Linked DNA regions of Bombyx mori. The protein of the gene in region 1 interacts with the protein of each later gene in a pairwise test. Links are inferred from orthologs where the notes say so. Each region holds a gene or a part of one and is shown on either strand. Other genes may lie near its edges.

Region 1 (3,997 bases):
TCAAGAAGTTAGTGGGTATACACTTTGATATTACTTTCACTCAGGCGCTTTGAGAAAATTGTATAGCTTCACACAATTTGGTCTTCAAGTAAACTTTAGACAGAACAGAGCATCAGGCGCCACGTCTGCATATTAAATTTACATTCAGTCTTGCCAATGTAGTGTAGATCTAAGGAAAAGCATATCGAGCCACAATTTTAAACGATTAATTAAGACATAAATAAGTCTTGTTAAAATATTTATTTTGTAATAAATTGATTATTTTGATGCAATTTAAAAGAATTATTGATAAAATTATAGACCTACAAATTGTACACAGACAATAAATAAACATTAGTAATTGTGCTGATTTGTGCTTACGTAGGATAATCTATGATACGGTAAGTCTGCTTTTTTTTTTCAATATGAAAATTAAATGAGCTTCTTGACATGATATGGCGTATGTTGAGTTCAAATTAAAATTATGTGGATTTTTTTTCGAAAGTGGGAAAGGTGTATTGTAAATTACCAACTTGGGATATGCGTACCTCTGGGGTGTTCCGAATCCCATTGGGGGTACGTGAAAATTATATTGGTAATGGCCGTAAATACTGAGAAGTTTAAGTAGTTAACTTAAAAAAATTAAAAATATGATGATAATGTTGTTTTGTCTACAACATATAGTTTTAAATGAACTTTATTCTAATAACTATTTAATAAAAACGACCGATAAACCAGAAATGAGACATTTTTTAAGTATGGAGTTATCAGGATTTAATCGAAGAGAAATGAGACACATTAGGTATGGAGTTATCAAGGTTGGAGAACTCAAAAAAAGTTTAAGGGGTATGGGAATGAAAAATGTTTGGAAAGCACTGCTTTAGATCACCGTGGCGGGCACCGTGGATTTTCATAGCAGCAAAAATCAATCCTTCTTTTTGAAAGTACGTAATAAAAACAAGATCGCTGTTGCGCAAATTACTTTAGATTGCCAATTTGAAAGCTCCGTAAATCCTTGTATTTTACTGAGTGTTCATTTAATGCCATTCCATCCCATCTCATTGGTTTTAAATATGTTTTATTCTTTTTCACTTTTCATTCAAACGATATGGGTTTTGCCTGGAATTTTTTACAATTGTCATTAAAGCTATCTTGAAAATGGATACCGGCTGTATGGGCATATATCCCGTTCTTTGACCAACAAAACATTTTTGGGTTCTAAGCCGTTTCCATGGGAACGTACAGTGTACACAAAATTAAAAATACCACGACTCCTGACAACCTTTATGAAACCTATGTTTCTTGTTAAATTATTGTAATCAACAATTTTTTGTGTCGTTAAGAATAGGTATATGGTTATTTGATATTTATTGCTTCATGTTTACTTTGTAATATGTGCAATGGAAAAAGAAATAGATCCACAGATCATAAAAGAAACTCAAACATCTCTCGGAAAATATGTGAAGAGGCCGCCTTTAAGTGAAAAATTACTGAAGAAGCCTCCCTTTAGATTTCTACATGATATTATTACTAGCGTGAGTGCATATATTTTTCAAAGCACTTTAAAAACACACTTAGAAAATTCAAAATAGCAATGACTTCAAAAATGCACTTTTCCAGTGACGTATGATAAGATTCAGCGCCCTGAGCCGATAAGGTTTAACGCCTTAATAAAATAAACGAAAAAAATATTTTTTTTAATACGAAATTAAATCGTGCTTTATTGTTTGTGTGTAAAGAATAATCATAAAGAATGAAAATATGAAAATGGCCAAGTAAAGAAAAAGCAAAACTGAGCGCGTAATGATGCGGTTTGCGTCTATCCTAACAGGAGCCTTTTTAGTTTTAGGGTATCTACCCTAGAACCCTAGAGGCGTATTTACGCTGTGTAATTCCACTGACGAGACCTGTTACAGAAAAATGACCAATCTGAACAGAAATTAAATAAAGCAACACCATATCTATCTATACTTTATTTTTTTATATTAAAAAGCTGAAGAGTTTGTTTGTTTGGTTGAACTCGCTAATCTCAGGAACGACTGGTCCGATTTGAAAATTTCTTTCAGTGTATATAGGCTATTTAACATCACACTAAGACCAATACGAGCGGAGCACTAATAAATAATGTTTCAAAATCGGGTTTATTTCCTTTTGGGAGCCTCCGCTGCGTGCGCTGCGGAAACGGTTTAAGTGTCGCTAAAATAAAATATGACAAAAAAATCCCCTTTAAAAGTTTTAAAAAAAACTCCGCGACGGCATATATTGGCTCACTAAAACCTTTTTTAAACTAACCAAATTTGTTCTAAAATAAAGCATTATTTGTGACGGTGTTTTTATAAAGATGATATTACTTAATACTTATCCAAAGAAATACGTTATTCATTACAAGCATTTAATTTAAAAGAAATTGGCCCTTTACATAATTTGATTTCAATGAGTATCCTAGAAGATATCGCAGTTTTAAAATAACATTAGCAAAATGCATAAGAAAAATAATGATCAAGCACGTAATAATGGTGTAGGTAGAAGGCGCCGCCGCCGCGCCGGTGCGCGGCGACATAAAATAAGAACAAAAAAGAAGTACCCAAATCATTTCAAGATAGGCTGAAAATTGTAGATTTTTTCGATTTCTCCAGGATCCCATCATCAGATCCTGATCCTGATGATTACTTACAGGACCATTCGGGAAGTCTAGCGTTTCGAACAAAAAAAAAGAATTATCAGAATCAGTTCAAGCATTCTCGAGATATCGGTGAACAACATAGATAAAAATATGGTGGTCGAATTGATAACCTCCTCTTTTGAAGTCGGTTAAAAAGCGTGACTTTGGTCCCTTAAATAGCTCCTTAACATTCTTTATTAAATAATATTTACACCTTCTATGAAGTCCCGGGTAAAATTTAGCGTTATCCCAAAGTTAATTAAAGTCTAAGTAAAATAGTCTGATATTACTTACAAAATGGCTTAAGTAGCTAACATGTCCTGGTAACAAATTTTTTATTACCATTGTATTCACTGCCTGATCTGAGCTGATGTTAATCTGTTACCAAAGTCCATAGACATCGAGACCTATGTAAGTCTAAGTTTTTACTAATCATTATTTTCTCTAATGCTTTTTATTATTAATTCTAGGTTTTAAAAACAACTGGATTTTTCGAAGGTTTATTTGAAAAGGACGAGTTAACTTCTGAGAATGTTAAAGATAGAGAGAGTAAAATACAGTTTTTAAATAAAGTCATTTCAGTTATACGTAAGTTGATTTTAGATGTATAGATGGATGAACGTGCTCACAGCTCGCCTGGGGTTCTAATATCGGAGTCCATAGACTTCAAAAAGTGAATACCTACCTTTACTAGGGTCTCTATTTCAATTGGATAGTAGTTCTGCAAATTAGTTTTATGTAAAATTTTAAAGCTAAAATAGGTGACCGAGCTCACTGCATACCCGTGGTTATCGGAGTTCATACACATCAACAACGGAAATGGCAGCACCCACCTTGAGACATGAGTTATAAATCTTAGTTCTATAAGTTCCATAGCACGATGGCTACTCTACTCTGTCTTAATGTATTAGACAGGCAATATTAAGTTATGAGAATATTGTAAGGTTCAAATAACCGTATCAGATACCGTTTTTTTTCTATCTATTAATGTAATAACTACCGCTGTCTTGCCCATATTCTTTTCGAAACTTTCGCAGCTACTATAATATAATATATATTAGATTAATACGTTGTGTTCCCGAACTCACTCACATATTAACACAATTAAGTATGTATTTAAAAAAACTTACAAGTATTCTTAATTTAGTAAATTTATATACAGATTATACAACAGGAAAACCTATCAATATTAAGCCTTCAAAGATAGTAGCAGGTCAAGAGGCAGAGAAAACGAATGAACTCTTACAATGTTTGGCACAAGCTCTAGACAACAATTTATCGTCAGTAGAAGCAGTGAAAAAATATAAAGAAAATGCATCACAAAATACTGTGCTTATAAAAGAAACGAGATCTAAA
Region 2 (3,520 bases), on another chromosome or scaffold:
TCGTGACCAAGGGAAATAGGGATTCATTTTTATATATATAGATTAAAATTAAAGTTATTATTATTTTTAAATATAATTAAAAGCAAATATTCTTGGAATACGTTGGATTGTGGCAACATTGAAAATCTAAGAATGAAAGTGGGCGGAGCCAACGGCGCGGCGTTCCCAGAGCACTGTAGAAGTAGGAGTCGGTTATTATAAGGTTCATTATACTTAAATTGACAAATTTAATAAATATGTATGTACTTCGGTATATTTACAGGTGTATTTCAAGTATATTTCACAGTAACTAAACTAACACTACTTTTTTTAGTTCCTGTGAAATTTTTTGGCGCCCTTATCTCTTACACTCTGTAGTGTCGCCACTTAAAGCCGACTTAAGAAAACTAGAGGTCCCGCAGTAGTCGAAATTCGACTATGATTAATTGGAATTGTATAATAAGTTTGTACACTATTATGATTGTATTTTCTACTTCTATCATCACAAATTTCGCCAAGGCTACGCTATAAAAAAATATTAATAAAGACAAACAATATTTAATGTATTCTCAATTTGACCACAGACGTCAAGAACAAAAGTTTGACAATAAATAGTATGCATGCATGTATGCATGCATGTGTGCGTCAAATACATGGTATGTAGTGTGTGTAATGGTTTCTTGATTGATTTAATGTATCTTTTACGCATTATTTAAAAAAAATATTAGCATTGTGCACTTCATCTCTATATTCTCTATAAGTGTGGAAAAATTCATACTCCTCCGTCCGCGCAATTTTCGTAAAAAGGGATACAAAGTTTTTGCTTCACGTATTAATATATAAATGAGGACGTTCTGTGTTCGACTCTGTGCATATTTTATGAAAAATCAGCGGTTTGTGGTTGATAAAATATTACCTAATACGTCTGTAAAATTGTGAATATCGATGATATTGATAATTGGAACTTGGATGTAGGAAAGGTGTCTTTATTTAGTAATAGCTAAAATAGAACGGAGGGTTGAGCATACTTATGGTATCACCGCCGCTTAGGGATATTAGAGTTAATTTCGGATTTATACCACTGCATGCATCAAGCAGCGTTATTTGACAATAGAGGAAATAGAAAGGGCTGTCGTAAGTGGTTTTGTTGACTCCTGATTGTTCACATGGTTGCAAAATCAGAATAATTTCGCTTAAATCGTTAGCTTTAAAAATATTTCACTTTTCATTTATTTACATAAAATATTATCTGCGCAGATTAAAATATATTTTACTCTTAAGTGTAACCTGATAAATGAACTTTACAAAAATATGTACACGCTGTGTTATTTGCATTTTTTGAGGAAATTCAAAGATATTTTTTTTTGTACTATTAGTTAGTTCCATTTGCCTCTTTATCTAAGGAGCAGCTCAGCGCTCTCTGTGTTTTGTACCCGATATTCCATGGAGGGCTCCGAGGTTTTGTTTTTTGTTTTTATTGGCCTTGTAGACAGGCGAACATGAATGAATGAACGTAGTGGCTCCAGGTAGTATGGAAGAACTCTACTCCGGGGGCGGGCCGTGCGATAGTAATAACGAGGTGATGGGATCATCTCAAGCAGTTCATCTGCCGTGTGGAGTACATACATTTAGTAGATACAGTAGGTACCTACGTACATTTGTACATTCGGTACGTAACACAGAGAGAACCGAAGTTCCTCCGTAGACCCAGAGATTCCATGCGATCCATGAGAATGGGATCAACGACAATCCGATTGACCTTTTTCTGATTGAGGTGAAATGGAAGAAGCTGGTATTTTGGAGCACCGGCTGAAAAATGGGGGCAGTTTTCCACGCTAGGCCGGACTTGTGGTTTGTAAACCAAAACCTTTATCCAGGTGCGAAGTGCCGCTTCGCTCTATTGAGGACTCCCATCATTTTTGCGACAACTTGGCTTTGCCCACGAAATGACTACGACAATAGGATATCCACTTCTGGCACTAGTGTTGACCGCCTCTCCTGCATCACGGTCTGGGAGAGACTTTAAGGGCTGATACATCACGCATCCCCCGTGCTATCATCAGCACAACAATGGCATGCCATCAATAGATAGCATATCATTGTTTGATATGATTCCATCATCCCTTTTATCACCGCATCACCTCACTGTAGCGAAGTCCGCCCCTGCCAGCTGGTACCGCTACGGTTATCCACAGTCCGTTGAAACATAATATGTTTGAAAACCACTCCAAATCGCCTGCACGCAAAGTTGCAAGTCGTCTGCACAAAATTTTTTTATTTTTTATTTTTATTGCTTAGTTGTGTGGACGAGCTCACAGCCCACCTGGTGTTAAGTGGTTACTGGAGCCCATAGACATCTACAACGTAAATGTGCCACACACCTTGAGATATAGTTCTAAGGTCTCAGTATAGTCACAACGGCTGCCCCACCCTTCAAACCGAAACGCATTACTGCTTCACGGCAGAAATAAGCGGGGCGGTGGTACCTACCCGTGCTCACACAAGGTCCTACCACCAGTAATTACGCAAATTATAATTTTGCGGGTTTGATTTTTATTGCACGATGTTATTCCTTCACCGTGGAAGTCAATCGTGAACATTTGTTGAGTACGTATTTCATTAGAAAAATTGGTACCCGCCAGCGAGATTCGAACACCAGTGTATCGCTCGATACGAATGCACCGGACGTCTTATCCTTTAGGCCACGACGACTTCAAAATCCTATCTTACCTATCCTAGGTATGCACACTGAAGATTGAGCGTCATAAGGTTTATAATAATAGAATAATAAATGAAGACAAGCTATGCCCTTCAGGCACATGTACCTACTCGTACTATCTCTACGAGCTGAGTGCGCGCGTTGCGTCGGCAGGCACGCTCTGTACTACTCTGTAGGAGACCATAATATTATAGTAGGTACGTGTCGGTTGACGCGAGTGTTGTCGGTATTTAAGGAGTGAACTAGTAACAGTCACAGAACTTGATTTTTTAAATAAAATTAACGATAGCATATATATATATATATATATATAAAAATGAATTGCTGTTCGTTAGTCTCGCTAAAACTCGAGAACGGCTGGACCGATTTGGCTAATTTTGGTCTTGAATTATTTATGGAAGTCCAGAGAAGGTTTAAAAGGTAGATAGATATGAAAATGCTCGGAATTTTGTTCTCCCTTTGATGTGTCCCCCGTCGGACGGATTCCTTTTGTTTGTTTTAAGTTTATTTTATACAAAAGTTTAGGTTTTTGATTTATCTATTGAGACACTACGAATTCTGCCGGGTCAGCTAGTATTAAATAAAAAGAAATTAAAAGTGCACTTACACTTAGTGTAGTTTAGATGCTTTTCGTAGGGCACCCGGGCGCACGGGGGCGCAGCGCCCACCTCCACGAGCCACGTGAGCCGGCGCCGGCCCTGCGCCGCCGACGGTGCCGCCATCTCGTATCCTGACAGAACAACATTACACTCTTAAGTCAAGTCGCATTTTTGATCCAATCAGTGAAACTTTCACTTGACTTCAACTGACGTCGCCGGACCT

Evidence for each region. The genes of interacting proteins can lie anywhere in the genome.
Region 2: the proteins of TRAF3-interacting protein 1 (region 1) and dystrophin, isoforms A/C/F/G/H interact in a two-hybrid assay, tested with the Homo sapiens proteins (2 studies listed by BioGRID and IntAct). The link is inferred for Bombyx mori from reciprocal best matches to the Homo sapiens genes TRAF3IP1 and DMD.

What each region holds. Positions count from the first base shown.
Region 1 is NC_085131.1:5,592,711-5,596,707, reverse strand, and holds the start of TRAF3-interacting protein 1, read left to right. Parts: upstream 1-1,196; 5' UTR 1,197-1,379; coding exon 1,380-1,514; intron 1,515-3,111; coding exon 3,112-3,229; intron 3,230-3,803; coding exon 3,804-3,997.
Region 2 is NC_085113.1:13,856,828-13,860,347, forward strand, and holds part of dystrophin, isoforms A/C/F/G/H, read right to left. Parts: intron 3,429-3,520; coding exon 3,306-3,428; intron 1-3,305. UniProt on the Homo sapiens protein: Anchors the extracellular matrix to the cytoskeleton via F-actin. Ligand for dystroglycan.